2 linked regions of the Drosophila melanogaster genome follow. The protein of the gene in region 1 interacts with the protein of each later gene in a pairwise test. Each region holds a gene or a part of one and is shown in the gene's direction. Other genes may lie near its edges.

Evidence for each region.
Region 2: the proteins of Lcp2 (region 1) and sxc interact in a two-hybrid assay, tested with the Drosophila melanogaster proteins (one large-scale study listed by BioGRID).

What each region holds. Positions count from the first base shown.
Region 1 is NT_033778.4:8,431,069-8,438,638, reverse strand, and holds Lcp2 (larval cuticle protein 2), read left to right. Parts: upstream 1-3,853; 5' UTR 3,854-4,105; coding exon 4,106-4,117; intron 4,118-4,179; coding exon 4,180-4,548; 3' UTR 4,549-4,842; downstream 4,843-7,570. Other genes in the region: Lcp4 (larval cuticle protein 4), read right to left, coding at 548-874, 932-943; Lcp3 (larval cuticle protein 3), read right to left, coding at 2,756-3,082, 3,139-3,150; Lcp1 (larval cuticle protein 1), read left to right, coding at 7,438-7,449, 7,514-7,570. UniProt on the Drosophila melanogaster protein: Component of the larval cuticle.
Region 2 is NT_033778.4:5,303,396-5,312,529, forward strand, and holds the start of sxc (super sex combs), read left to right. Parts: upstream 1-3,892; 5' UTR 3,893-4,103; coding exon 4,104-4,257; intron 4,258-9,134.

The sequences.
Region 1 (7,570 bases):
GGTGTACCACCAACATTTAAACCGAGTAATAATAATAATAAGTATTCGAAAATTTCACTATACCGTTCTTTACTGTTCTTTTAACAATATGAAGATGAAGAGTAAACGCAAGCAATTCCAATCCGGTTATATTTTGCTCAGCCATGACTTTTGTTTAATGAAATATTTTATTGCATTTAAAACTGTAATAAACAGACCGAATTTATACCTAAATCTGGTTTGATGGTCTTCACTTTATGTATCGCTAATTAAACAGGTTACTATTGGCTAAGATCAATCACGTAACATCCAGACAGTTCGTGATAATCTGAAGCAGCGTTTGTTCCCTCGGCCAAAATAAATCAGCCATAAACAAGGTAACTCCTGCTGCCGTCAGGGAAATTAAGACCATATCTAAATAGATTTGTTGCCAAAGAGTATCGAATTTATTTCCTAACTCGATAATCATTTATAATGTCTGCATGCTGTTTAAATTCTAAGGGTTAGAGGGCAAGGTCTTTGGAGTTGCACCTCCGATTCGAATGTGGGTCCTGGTCGTGTCGATTGCTTATTCCTTGCTGGGATGGGCCTGGATGTAGGCGATGGCCTTCAGGATGGCCTCTGGGATTGGAGGAGGAGTGGGCAGGAGGTCGCTCTGGGGCTGGTATCCGTTCTCGTCGGCCTTGTAGCTCACACGGACGTGTTCGCCCTCGGGGGAGACCCACTCGAAAACTCCGTCGATGTTTCCGTGGACATCTCCGGTAGCAGAAGCAGCGGAACCGTTGTCCAGGACCAACTTGCTTACGAAGCCATCGGCTTGGACATCGTTGACCAGCTCCTTGACCTCGGGATTCTCGTTGGCGGCCACCAGGGCGACAAGGGCGCAGACAAGCAGCTAGGATATTCCGGGATTACTCATTGAACTGTCCGGCTTTAAACTTCAGATACTTACGATCTTGAACATTTTGACTTGGTTAGATTGTCAGACTAAAGAACTCGTGAGACTGATGCCAATTCGGGATCACTCGTCGGCTTTTATACGCTTATACGCACTCCCCACGAAATCTTAAAGCTGATCAAAAGCTGATGCAACCCGTTTTTAATTAACATTTCGGCCAGCATAGGTCTCGTTTGGTTTTACGGACTGGTTCAAGTGACATGCTTGGTGGCGATAAAAATCGTCTGCTGCACTCTTTTTGATTTCTATTGTCTATGCAAATCGCTACCGTAATTATTCTAAAAAGAATCGGGTTACTCGGAAAAGGGTAAGTCCACCTTCTCATTGAAATAATTTAACATCTTCCGGAATATTTAGTCAGATAACTTTGAATTACTCCAGACAAATCATATAAAAATAACTTGATTGAATAATGTCTAAGCTGCTGATAGTAGAAGTTTAATTATTAGGAGGTGAAAAATAACTAGAAAACAAAACTTTTTTGCGAACCGCTTGTAGATCCAGCATACCTTTCGGAGCATCATTTGGTTTCTATCTGCGAAATGACTGGGAACGGGTTTATGGAATCTAACATTCTGTGTTCACCACCCTCAAGACTTGACTGACCGGGACTTGACATAAATCCTACTAAATTAAAATCTGCATAAACATTCTATTCCTCAAAAACTCTTACTCATATAACCTTTGTAAATAACATAGATATTAAGAATAGTTTAAATTGATACCGATAAGATTGGGTTGCCTAAGAAGAGCGTACTATTGCTAGTCAATTAAATTATTGTAAATAATTTCGTTTAATAAAAAAAAACATTGTGTGTATATTTTATCTCTAGTTTCCGTTAAGTCAATATGAACATTCCCGTGGAGTTTGACATATACAATGTATACGATTCTTACTTATACAATCACTATTAAACACTTAAGTTACAATATCATAATATAATCAAAAATCCGAAAGCACAGCAATTTGATTGATATTTCTCCAAAAATCACTACAAGATCTTATAACCGTGTAACCTCAGGGAAGTCTGTGTTATTTTTTGTTACGTGTATGACTATTTAAAAAAGGTTAAAAAAAAGATGAAGAATTTGATTTTTACATCTAGGCTTATAATGCCAATTTCAGTTATATTCATAAAAAGACCAATATAAAAACAAAAATTCGACTCGGCTAGTGATAATGATGATGAATATACATACTTTTTAGGTTCGAAAACGCTTCATAATACCCTTAATACCCATAATACCGACATGCGTTCTAACAATTCAAGTGTACCCTTATCCTCTACAAATAATAGATATAAAAAAGTTCCTCGTCGTTTTCATCATACTGCGATCTTATCTGGGATGCATCAGGTTGGCAACATTTAATTACTTGTGGCTGCCTATGAACTTAACTTAAAATAATAACTAGTTATAACCCAGTTTTCGGAAATATGAAATTAATGCAAGGAGATATCGGCTTGTCCAGGTAAGATTTTTGTAATGTTTACATTTATTTTAGATGCTTTAAAGATTTTTGTATTTAAATTAATTTCGTACTATACTATAACAACACAATTGTAATTTAATGAAGGCCAAAGTGTCTTTGATTACTTTTAATCTTCTAATTGTACCTTCTTATACCATATAATACCGGGAGCCTTCTCTTAAATCGAACTGTCAGATTTGTAAAACATGCACTTGGTTTATATTGCAAGGTTTAATTTATTTTCGAATTCGATAACATTTTCCTTAAATTTAAAACAACTGGTAAGAAATTATCCAAACTCAACCTAGCTGTCTCCAATCTTTCATGTTCCTAGTCGGCGGGTTCACTTAGTTCTTGCTGGGGTTAGCCTCGATGTAGGCGATAGCCTTCAGGATGGCAGCTGGGATCGGAGGAGGAGTGGGCAGCAGGTCACTCTGGGGCTGGTATCCGTTCTCGTCAGCCTTGTAGCTCACTCGCACATGGACACCCTCGGGGGAGATCCACTCGAAGACTCCGTCGATGTTGCCGTGGATGTCTCCGGTGGCGGAGGAGGCAGATCCGTCGTCGAGGACCAACTTGCTGACAAAGCCATCGGGCTGGACATCGTTGACCAGCTCCTTGACCTCCACATTAGCGTTGGCGGCCACCAGGGCGGCGAGAGAACAGACAAGCAGCTAGGATAATCCAGGATTAGACTGCGAAGTCACTATGCTCCTCAAGGCATACTTACGATCTTGAACATTTTGATTTGGGTGGATTGTCGGACTAGAAATCTTCTAAGACTGATGACAATCTATGCTCAAATCGGTGTTTATATATCATCAAAAGCTGATGCAATGTGCGTATTATAATTAAGTCAATGTGATGCATATAATAAAAACCGTCTGGGATGCAAATTAGTCGACTTGAGATGGCTTAACCACTTTCATTAGGAGATGAGCATTCTTAGTTATTTATTCAACTGAAATATTCGCCCTAGTCTAACCGAAATGCAAAGCAAACCGGACCAGAAACCAGAATAATTATTAAGCAGTACAATATTTAATTTTCTAAAATTCAACTTCAATATGAACTAAACTTAAGCATAGCATAGTTTTCGGTGTTTCATTTGGTGTGTGGCACGTTGACAACTCTGGCCAAAAGCTTTGCGGGTTTTTTTAAATTAAACAGTGACATCCAAAATATTGAGATACAACAAAATGTCATAGGCAACTAGCACGTTAATATGCAGTATCACTTGCGAAATCGTTTATTCCGGTATATTGTTTATTACCACTTCGGAACCTTTTAAAATAGATGGGACTGCTATCAAGTGAAGTGTATTGGGTTTTTTGATTTTGTACAGGCATGATTGATAAAGACTTGGTCAACTCGAAACGTCATCGATGAGCACAGAATCCGAAAACCGTACTCCATCGCCCCTACAAAATTTCTACCGAAGCATGTTTCATTTCGGAATCTGTTCAGCAGCGCAAGACTTGTTTTTTGACATTTGTATCGCAGAGTCAAGTGGAGAATTTATGGGCCCTGCCTTTTGTTGGCATCATGGGCGTTTCGTGATAACTTAGATTTGGCCCAAAAAGTAATAAGCAATTCGTTTGGAAAGCAACCAAATTGGGAATCATATAAAAAGACTCTGTCGACCAAAGTCAGTTATCAGTCAACGTTCGTTCTCGACCAGACAGAAATCAGCCAACATGTTCAAGTTTGTGAGTGGCTCACAGGACATTTATGAACTCGCCATCTAATTGGTATCATTTCCTCTATCCAGGTGATGATTCTCGCCGTTGTGGGAGTGGCTACCGCCCTAGCCCCAGTTTCCCGCTCCGATGATGTACACGCTGATGTCCTTTCCCGATCGGACGACGTTCGTGCCGACGGATTCGACTCCAGCCTGCACACCTCAAACGGAATCGAGCAGGCCGCCAGCGGTGATGCCCATGGCAACATCCACGGCAACTTCGGCTGGATCTCACCCGAGGGCGAGCACGTTGAGGTAAAGTACGTCGCGAATGAAAACGGATACCAGCCCTCGGGAGCCTGGATCCCCACTCCTCCTCCAATCCCAGAGGCCATCGCCCGCGCCGTTGCCTGGCTGGAGTCTCACCCCCCAGCACCCGAGCACCCCCGTCATCACTAGGACTCGTCACCCGGATCCCGGACCACTCCACGGACTGTTCTCCCGAAACAAATCGCCCAAGTTGTTTAGCTGTACTTCTTGACTTTCAAAAAAATACATGCACTTGCTTATAGCAGTAAAAATGTGTGTGTTCTTCATTGCACTTTTTAGGTAGTTCCTGTAATAATACGAGCTTTTATACCTCTACCTTCGCTGGGAATGCTTCCTTCTACCTTTTATATTCGATTCACTAAATCCATTTATCAAAAATGAGTATATGTGTCCATAAAGAAAAGATGTGCTGAATTAAAAATTAATTTTGTCTTTTAAAATTTGAGAAGGATCTGGGCAGTCTAAAAGATCTGAAAAACAAAAAAGCAAATGTTTGCATACAATTTTATTCTCACTAAAAGTCTCAATGCATTTTTTTTTTATTTTAAGTAGTATTTAAAAGCCAATTAGAGAAGCCAATACCAATGGACAAACTTATTGAAATAGAAAAGCAATGGTCAATGCCACACGAGCCGATTACCCTAGTATATACTCGTAGTACTAATCCCGTGGATTGCCATGCGATGCTTTTTAATGGGTGTGGGGTATCTTCATAGTCAACCCAGATTTCAGAGCACCAATCGTATGAAAGATGTAGCGTATTGACTTGGGTTCAGTTTTGGTGGTTATCAGTCAACGTTCGTTCTCGAGCAAACAGAAATTGGAATCTAAAATGTTCATGCTCGTGAGTAACGGCAGGATACGAACGTATTCAATGTCTATGCTCTCGTTCACGTGGTGATCTGTGCAGTTTTTGGATTGAGTGGCTCATCCCCCATCCCCCATCCGTAGGACGTTTCGAAAGTGACAACGCCGATGTCCACTACCAATCATACGATGTTTATACCGATGGATTCGATTCCAGCAGTCTGCACATATTCAACGGAATCGAGCGGGCCGCCAAAGCAGATATCGATGGTATTTTTCAGGGCACTATAAAATGGATCACCCCCGAGGGCGATCACGTCGAGGTCACGTACGACGCTGGTGAGAACGGATACCAGGCTTCGATCAGCCTTGATTCCGACTCCTGCACCAATCCCGAAGGCGTTCCACTGACCGGTACCCGAGCATCCGCACCATCACCAAGACTCTTCACCCCGATCTCAGACCCATCCACCGACTTTCCATCGACATGTTATATATTATTCAATAAAGTTTTTTACCCGACATAAGTAAATGGTTTCAAAAAGAGAGAAGAATCACCATGAACGGCATTCCACGTAGTGACGAAGCGCACCAGAGAGTACAAAGACAACTTCTATCTGCTGTAGTTGTCTTATTATATTGTGTGATAACCAATAGAAAGGCAGCATAAAAAGTAAAGAGATTGAACCGTAAAATAATCTAAGAAGATAATGAGATAAAAACATACGAAGATAAACTGAAATGATAATACCCGTTACTCGAAAGTAAAATGGAATACTAGGAAAATTATGTAACAGGTAGAAGGAGGCGTTTCACACCATATAAAGTATATATATTTTTAAAAGCGATCAATAGCAGAGTATGTCCGTATGAACGCCTCGACTTCAAAAACTAGAGAGTTAAGATTAGATATGAAGATTCCAGAGGCCCACAAACGGCCTAAAACTGCCACGCCCACACGTTTTGAACAATTCAATAATTTTTTTCATATTATTATTTGTTTCCAAATTTTTACCGATATTCAAAAAAGTATTGAAATATATCGGTCACACTTCCAGCTGAGTATAGCATTCTCTCTTTTTAAAATAAGACTGGGAATTTGTTTGGTTGTTTGTCTGTCTGCAAATGCACCTCAAATAAATAATGTCATAAAGCGTCCCGAACGAGTAACTTTTAGATATTGTATTGTCTTAGTTGAATAAAAACTCTATTTTCGTCACAACAGTTAATATTAGAAGCTTGGATTGTTAAAGGTGCGATAGTCACTAGCATAAATCTCAGAAGAGGCTATTCTGTTTGATTACAAATTAATCTTAACTTTCAAACCAAATTTGTGAGGATACTGTGCGGTCTAACTGATCTGAAAAACAAACTATTCAAGCTCTTATATTAGATGTTCGGCTTGCACATTTAAATACCATGAAATGTATCTATAGGAATTATAAATTTTAAGTAAACTTTTAGTTTATATGCCTATACAGACAAGTAAATATCCTCTTTAGGTTAACATTAGGTTTTCTTAACAATTTTAATTGTCACTAAAAAACTATGTATTTCGGTAGCCTCCTATATGGAACAGGTCTTATTATCTTATTTAATTTTACGAAATATAAAAAAATAATATAAGGCGCTATGCATATGAAATATAATGTAAAACACACTTGAATTTGTTTAAAAGCAAACTGCAACCTGTTCGTCGAGAGGAATTGATAAAAAAAAGAAGAAATGGTGCCAAGGTAGAGACACACGTTTATATATTACAAAACATCGAGTCTAAGAAGTCGGCGATGCTTTGTAGTCCATGGAGTCTTGATGGGACTACAAAAGTGGTTCACGGCCTGGCAATGCCAAGTCAAGCTCAAAGGAGGGGATTTAATGAAGGGGCGGGTCAAACTCGTTTCGATTTCGGGATGCCACCCGACCCGTTTGCCCCTTATTGATGCGATTGTTTCATTTTAGCATCTATTAAGCGATTATATATAGTACTTATCCCGTTGTTTGGCATTTGCTAAGCTGTCGCATGTGACGATGCTTTTTAATGGGTGTGGGCGCATCCGCGAAGTCAACCCATAACTCAGCGAACCAATTGAATGCAAGATGTAGCGTTTTGATATGGGTTCACTTTGGGTGGCAATCATATAAAAAGGCTCTGCCCGACCACAATCAGTTATCAGTCAACGTTCGTTCTCGACCAGACAGAAGTCAGCCAATATGTTCAAGTTTGTAAGTGTCCGCAGGATACGAACCAACATACTCGATCCCTAACGAATGCCTATTTCTCCTTCAGGTCATGATCTGCGCAGTTTTGGGCCTGGCGGTGGCCAACCCCCCGGTGCCCCATTCC
Region 2 (9,134 bases), 3.1 Mb from region 1:
CCAAGCTTTCGCTTAGTCTCGGATTTGTTATTGATTGATATTGATTCAACATGACAAATTTTTTCGCTGTCGTTTGCCAGCATTCGGTTAGCACACAAACATATATGTAAACGCATATAAAAGTGCACAGCCAAAACCAAAAATGTTCCGCGTGTTCCGTGCCTCTGACGCGTTGGGACATTTTATTGTATTTTTTCTCATAATTAAAAATGGCTGATACGGAAAACTAAAATGTGAAGTAGACTTCTACCGAGCCAAATCCCAATCTGTGTTGCGGAAATGATCTTTTATTTAAGCCCTGATTGCACGGTCAACAATTCCAACAATTGAGAAAAAAAATTTAATATAGTGCTTCGCTTTGGATTTTTTAAAGTCGACATTTGTATAGATATCTGCATATCTGTTTCGGACCTGGGTCCGTTCATCGACCCACCAAGCGGATTGCATTGTCAACAATGGTCAAATGGTATGATCCACTTGGTCTAATAACCCCAATTGTCAGAAAATCACATGATCTTTCTGCAATCTCTATGGAGTGCTAAGGTGGAATGGGACGACGCATAGCCAGACCAATTTTTTCGTCATGGTGGGAGTTGACTTCACAGTTATCGGTCGTAGAGAACTTAAAATTTCATTTATCTTCGCGAAGGCAGATGTAAACGGTGACCCTGATGCAACAACACTCCTGGAAAGGATTGAGCTGCGAGTATTTGTCCCTATTCCAAGAGAAACGCAAGTGTCGCGTCGTAGTTTTGCTTAAGGAGGACAACATTCCACCGTTGAGATGTCATTTTGAGCGCATCCAGGAAGTCATATCCGGCGGGGACAGCGTCATCAGAGTAGCTATCAAGAGAGCCGTCGTCCAACCAGTTGCCCCATCGATTTCGATATAGTTGGAACCGTACCTCTAACAACGAGCAGTCATGCGCTTATATTGTATGTATGTGTGACACCTCCTGCAGCGCTCTTCGGGTAACTATTTTCGCCCTTATTTCTACTCTGGCTAAAAATGTTGGGTTATCTATTCAGCTATTCGAAATCGCTACAGAAGCCTCGTCTGTTCATTTCTTTAAAATAGCTAATAAAAAGGCTTCTTAGCTCAACATACATGATACAAAATTTTCAACAAATTTAGTATGCCGACTTCCCCAACTATCATATACCCGTTACTCAGCTAGTTGAAATTGCGGCAGTTTTGGGCGGCTTAAGGCGTTAGAGTGGGTGTCTCAAAAATTTTTTGGCAGATAGATAGAACTTTACAAGACTAAAAATGTTATGAAAATATATCCAAAAATTATTCAAAAATGTGGGCGTGGCACTTTTGCTCGGTTTTAGGGCGTTCGAGTGGGAGTGGAAAATAGTGTTTTGGCAAATCGATAGAAATTTACAAGACTAATAAAATTATAACAAAATATCCAACAAATTTTCAGTCTTGGGCGGTTTTAAAGCCTTAGAGTCGGCATGACAAATCAATAGAAATTTACAAGACTAACAAAATTATAAAAAAATATCTAAAATTTTGAAAAATTGTGCGAGTGGCAGTTTTAGGGCTTTAGAGTGTGCGAGGCAACAATTTTTTTTTGCAAATCGATAGAAATTTACAATATTAATAATAATGTAAAAAAAATCAACACGTGTTTTTAAAAGTGTGTGTGCGCCTTTGTCCCTAGAATCTGTATGCTGAATCTTAACCTAGCTTTCAATCTAGCTTTCATAGTTCCTGAGATCTCGACGTTCATACGGACTCGGCTATTGGTCCCTGATCAAGAATATAAATACTTCATATGGTCGGAAACGCTCCCTTCTGTCTGTTATTTTTTAAAGAATATTTACGAATATAACAAATATTCAAGAATAACGAATTTTTTAATATTAACATTAGCAGTATAATTTTAAATAATTCAAATACTGTAAGCATATATAATTTCCAAATGAAAAATTCTTAAGCCTCAATGCATTTTCATATATAATTATACAACTGCTTATACTTACCTGCGATTTTCGAGAACGGTGCAACGTCGTGGTCGGATGGGACTTTAACGTGTGGGCCGCTCTAGTGTGGTCGCCACACACAACTCCCAAGGGCAAATTAAATCTCGAAACATTCGCTAGGCTGGACGTTCAACAGTGCCGTTGCAGGATTAATTATCGACCTCACGTTCATAAGCAGTCCATTCGCTCGCTTCTCCTGTTGGGGTATCAAGGAGGTGGTCACAGTCAGTGACCACGAGGCGATCCAGGTCGAAATAGGCACAAAGGCAATCGAGAGCAGGGCTAACACGCAGTAACCTAAGGCCTACCGACAGAACACCATGAGTCTAGAAGAGTCCGCCGGCATTCTCCATTACCTGACGGTCAACGAGGCGAACTTGTGATCGCAGCAGCGGATAAAATAGTAGCGAGGGTGGAGGAGGCCTGCGGCCAAAGCATGCGAATGAGGAAAACGAACCGAAGGCACCACACCCTGGTTTTCTGGTGGAGCGAGGATATTGCCTTGCAGCGCATCATCAGCCTACGCGCAACGAGACTCGTACAAAGAGCTCGTGGCACCACGCGTCTGGAAGCATGCCATACGGAATACAAGGTCACAAAGAATTCACCGAAGAAAACGATTAGAGCCAGCAATCGTGAATGCTTTCTGAAAGTCTGCGTCGCAGCAGAAAGCGATCCATCTGCTCTGGAAAACATCTTTAACGTTCTGTTCCTGTTCGGTCTGCCATTCCCAATTCCCAGATCGGGCCAAGCGGAGACGAATTGCGGCCTGTCACGGAGCCCGAGATCCTAGCGGCTGAGAGGAGTCTTAAAACCAAAACGGTACCACACCCGATCGCATCCCAAGCAAACTACGAGAAACAGTGCTATGTTTGTTACCGCCTAAATTTGAAGGTTTTTTTTTTGTTTTACCAATTATTTTTAAAATATCCATGAGATCTGTTACTAATTTTTTTATTTCGATTGAAAATCATTGTAGTATTTAAGTTTAGTGAGTAAAATAATGAGAAAGTGTCAGAAAATAGAGAAAAGCTGGGACAAACACGAAATGTGCTTATGATGCTATTATTGTTACCGCAACTGTAATAAAGAGAGTTTCTTGACAGTCTTAAAAGCGTGTAAACTTGGAATTTGTTGTTTATTTTCTTGTATATTTAATATTTTTAATTTGTTTTTTGATTTATAAGTAAAATAAATATTGTTTGATTATATTTTATAAAAAAAATTGCGTTTAATTAAGCAAAAAACCCTTTATTTTTAGCTTTAAAGTCAAAAATTCAACTTATTTTACAGTGTGTAAACAGTTTCTTGACAAACTGTATGTGATATGTGATTCTAGAGACATAGGCGCCGCGCAAGTTTGTTAACCCATGTTGCCATGTGCAATCCAACGCACACATACCGGACAAAACTGCCACGTCTACACTTATGTAAAATGTTTTATTATTCTTTCATATTTTTATTTTCTTTTAAATTTCTATGAATTTGCCAGAAAACATTTTGCCATGACCACTCTAACGCTAACAATTTCAAAATGTTTTGAAATTTTTTGATTTTTGTATACAATTTCTATTAATTCGCGGCCACGGCCCTTCTTACACCTTCCAAACCGGTCAAGACCGAACTTTTGATCAATTTGAAACAATTTTGTTCTTATTTTATATCCCAGTATTTAACGATATCCCAGAAAAATGATGAATGAATTTCGTGTTCCCATTTTCACGAGCTGACTAACGGTTATCTGATTGACTCGACAATACCATTCTCTCTTCATTTGAAATTATATGTGGTATATCATTGGTATAACATTGATATTATGTTAATATGGTTTTTGCCGCCGTAAGAATAGGGTATAAGCTATTAAGTTGCTGTTCACAGTGTTCAATATTTGAGTATGTAAATATTTGATTTTCTCTTGTAAATCGTATTAACAGCTGAGTGGATGTTTGAAAATAATTAAATCAGGTTGCTTTTATAACTTAATGCAATTCATATTGATATTTTACTGATATTCTCTTTCTTAAAGGTTTAATCATGTAAACAACATCACAGTGTCTTTACTTAAGGGTGGCTTATTGATTTTAGACACATGTTATCAACGTTGGATTTTAATGCATGTTGAACAAACACGAATAAATATGCAGTCTCAAGGACAGAGCCATCAACTGCCGTCCGCGGCCCATATATTATTAGATCAAAATCCGAATTCAACAGGCAGTAACCTAGTCGTAAAACAAAATGACATTCAATCTCTTTCATCAGTCGGTAAGAAATAACCATACATTTATATATGTATGTACATACGTTTGTAATTGATTTTTTTAAAGAATACATCTAGTTAAATACTTTATACATTAATGCAAATGAATAAGTTTGACAGCGAAGACAACCACAATTAAATTAAGAAAAATCAATAAATCAAACAATTGGTTATGCCTGGCCCGAGATAGATATGTGTCTAATGTGTCTCATATTAACAACATATTAAGAGATGCATATGGTGTACGCATCTAAAAATTCACACAACATAAAAATCAGTGTTCAGTGTCTGAGCTTATTTCGTGTAGTTAAATTAATTTTTATGTTGGCATTGCTTCGATGAAAGATACCAGAAAAATGTAAACGCAATATTTTTGAAAGAATTATTGACATGGTTAAAAAACAGACGATTTCCGTATTCTAAATGTGCATCCCTCATTAAAGCCGTATCTTGTAAGGGGTATCTGGTAGTCGAGAAACTCGTCTATAATGTTATCTCTCACTCCATCTAAAATTAAATTTTTTATTGTAATTTTTTTTTTTTCTGGCTTAAAGCTTACTTTGCACTTAAATTTTTTTTCGTTCTGCTGTAGCTTGCACGTTTTTCCTTTTTTAAATTTTTGACAACATATATTACATATATGTACATATATTATTTGGTATTCATTGAAAAGTTCTTCGGTGCTTTTCGGCCTTCATTCAATACAGTATTTTCTTTTAGGGAGAAGCTTCCGCTTCTCCGCGAAGTTGGATCAATCTCGGATATTAAAATTAAAAAATTGTTAGGTTTAAAATGGCCATTTATTGAATATTAACATACTGCACAAAATAAGCTGCGGCATAAAAAACACCTTTTTGTTTTCTAAAACGATTAGAAAATTGCTTTTTTTTTATATAACAAATTTAAGAATCCGGTGCTGAAATACCTTATTGGTTTGAAACCTCTAAACTGTACGAACAAACTACAGCAGACAACTTCGGATGTGTCCTTTGAAATTTCAAGGGTTCGTTACCCTGCATATCCGTTGGTTAATCTGCACCAATTGAAGTGCTTAACACTAGTCTAATTTGTTTAAACTGTATTATTTCTAGAATATCATTGACTGCGTAGTGAGAGATCTTGAAAACTCATTGACTCGGCCCATTTTAGGGTAGTCCTGAATCTGGATGTGTATGATCTATACCTGTATTTCAATCTGCATACATATGCATGTGTCTGCAGTTCTCAGTGTGTGTCTCAATCATCTTTCCTTGCTGTACCTGAGGAATTATCTCTTGAGCATAGTATCTAGTTGCCTTCTCTAAAGTATGAAGCTTATACAGATTACTTCCTCTGATAATTGCACGAAATAATATTCAGTGTGAAGAAGGAAGTTTAAAAATAAGTTTTGTTTTCATTTTATTATTTGCCTTGCTATGTTTTATTGATTTAAAAATCTGTTGCGGAACTCGACCAAAGGGTACGGCCAAAGACACCAGAATAACAAGATGCGTAACGCCATTCGATGTGGCTCTAGAGCACTATGGGGCATTTGGCCTGTTTTTTTTACAATAATGTGTTTTTCACAAGTATGCAAATTTGAAGTATTTTAGTATTAATACATTGGAAATACGTTAAACTGTTATGATACAGCCCGCAAAAGTTAATTTTACAATGCACCGTTATAATAACAGCTGTTAAAGTCGGCTGTTGCGAGCATATATCACGTGGCTGCTTTGCGCGCAAAATTTAGCTTAACTTTCAAAGTGTTAAAATTTAAAAAGAAGAAGAAGGAGAGTATAATTTGAAATAGATAATCAATCTTTAGGTTTTTATTATGTGTTGTTATTAATATATTGTTTATTGTGTGCGCCTATTTCTAACAATTTGTACATTTAGCAAGTGGTGTCAACATGTAGTTGTTTGAAAAAATTTTAAACTTTGAATAGAGCTACAACAATTTGTTCAAATTTGTTCAGTAAGTGTTTATATCCATGTTGTAGTGTGTTCAATTTCTAACTCATATCAGGTAGTCTCTATGTGCGTTTTTTGCGGTTTCTTGAGAAATTTCATTTTTTAGGGAGCAATATCTCGATTTCCAATGCTGCCCTGCTGGAAGTGTGGCGCAAGCAAAAGGTTGTTCGTCAAAAGGAAAATTCTATTTGCACTTTTATCAGTGGGCATATTTCTGATAGCAAGCTAGACTTTAATGAACGATTAACGAATAATATTAATAACGAATGATTTCAGTCAATCTTTTGCGAAATTGGAGAAAATGCAATCGAAAAATAAATGAATTTTTGAAAGTTTTTCAAATTGGTTAGAAGAACACCTAGTCCTGAAGGTAAAGGAGAAAAATAAAAAGGAAAGGAAATTAGCTGGACTCCCGAAAACGTCATATTATTTAAAAAATTTGAGTGGCCGAAGACAGCAAGCAGATGAACTCGTAAGGGCGCAGAATCACAACGAATGTCTTTTGGTTCAAGCTGTACGGAAGTGCTGCCTGCGGGATCTTGCAGCCATACTTAAAATTCTTTTGTTGAACCCAGCCAAAGCAAAAACTATTAGTAGCTTCGCAGATGTCTTTTACAGAGCAATGGATACTACGGATCCCATAATATCATCAATAAATTTAAAGAGGCGAAAACATAAGCGACTATCTCTTCCACCAGAAGTCATTCAAATGTTAGCTTGCGAATTTGAACCTGATAAAAATTCTTCAGACTCTGCCGATTGTGAAGAGGAAGACGGTTATGAATTATACAATATTGAAATTAAAAATAAACTTTAAAAATATATTATTAAAAAAAATTATAATATAATATATTAAAAAAAAAAAAAATTGGGGCGGAGTTGGGGCACGGCCACTTTTTCAAAATATTCCTGGAGGCATGTGTAACGCATAAAAAAAAATTCATCCAAATATCTCCAATAGTTTAGGAGGTATTAATTTTTGTAAAAAAAAACAGGCCAAATGCCCCATAGTGTAGAGGTGGCTCCAGGCTCTCTCGAATTTTAGTTCGAGAGCAAAAGAGCTCTTTTCTACGCATACAGTGATAGCAGACAACTGTATGTGTGCACACGTATGCTCATGCATTGTAAATTTGACAAAATATGCCCTTCACCTTAGAAGTTCATAGATATTATCTATCTATATTATAGATCTATATTATTTTTATATATATATTATTTTTGATCTATATATCTATATTATTTTTGATCAATTGGCATCATGCGGAAAATTCTTGTTTTGCTTGCCTTAACGTCATTATTATTTAAATATAGCTTAGAAATAGTTATAGCCGAATCATAATGTCACAAAATAAATTTCAAAAATGACTATATTAGAATATTTGTCATTAGAGTATTCAGCTTGCGACGTGTGAAAAATTAATAAGGCATTGTTGAGTGCTTGTGTAAGCAATTTAATGTCTTCTTTTTGGAAAATTTATGTTTTAAATTACAGTAGTTATCATACTTCCTTTGCATTTGCCTTAATTATTTAGTATATTTATTAAGTCCTTCGACTTAATATGATTTATGTAAATGATCGATTTATATTATTTAAAATGCACATTAGATTCAGTTGTTTAGTTGCAGTTTTTTTTGTTTTATTCCAATTTGATATTTTTAAACAGCGCGCAATTTCATCATATTGCTACGAAATTGGCCAAAACTCCCCAAATATGTAAATTCGTTTCTTTGATCAGAATTGATTTCGGCCCGAAAATCGTCTTCTAGCACAACACGCACACATATACGCGTTCTCGTCTCTTGTTTTAACTCTCACAAACAAGCAAATTCTATTTTCAGATTGCTTACGCTCTCATCGTAAGCGAGCGGACAGAGAGCAATTTTGGCCGTCACCAAATTAGGTTCTCCGTTAGTTTATGTGTACATAAGAGCTCAACATCAAAATCAAAAATGTTAAAAAATCAAAAATTTGACCTTTTCAATTTTTTCTAATTAAATTTTTTTACCAAATATTATAAAAAAACATTTGCCCAACCAATATTTGTTTTTGTCGTTTGTCCGCCTTTAAAAAACTTTAAATTTTTTTTTTCGTTTGCCTCGCTTGAATATAACTTATTTCGTAAGCCCACCTCTTAGAAATAAATATTTCGTTTGCCCACTGTTAAAAATAATTTATTTCTTTAAAATTAGTTTTAATCGTTTGACCATCCTTTAAAATTAGTGTCTATCGTTTTCCCATCCTTGCAAATTAGTTTTTATCGTTTGTCCATCCTTTAAAATTAGTTACCTAGTAACTAGGTACAGGCTTAAAAAATCAAAATCCAAACTTTGTAAAAAAACGTAGGATCTTAAACTGTATTTCATCTTATCGAGACGTGCATTGAAGATCTAAATCCTCCTAATAATCTAAATTCCTGTGCGTCACCAGGTTAGTGCTCCTTGAGCAAAAATTTTTCATGTGAGATATTAAGAAAACTGTTCAAGCGAAAGCTTTGAAAATTTGTTTCCCTTAAAAGTTGAACAATTCTATAAATGTAAAATTTGTTGTTTTTAGATTTTTATTTAAATAAAAAAGAAAGACAATCCATAATGGGTATGGGTAAGTGAAAATTGGCTCATCAGGATAGCGCCCCCTACAATAATTTAAGTTTTTCGATTCAGTTCAAAAAAAATTAGTTGATTAGCACTTAAATATTTAAATTAGAATATTTTTAAAGGAAATTAATAATTATTTGATCCTTCTTTGTTTCTCGTCCCAGAGTACAACATAATGCCACTCGTTAGACTAGGTCATATGAGCTCCGGCAAAACTTAGTCGTGATTTTTTTCGCAACTTTCTATATTTTTTCGGTTTTTCGTGTTTTAAATGTTTAGCTTTCTTAATCACCCTAATTTTTTTCTCGAATTTGGCCGGAGCAGTTGTGGGAAT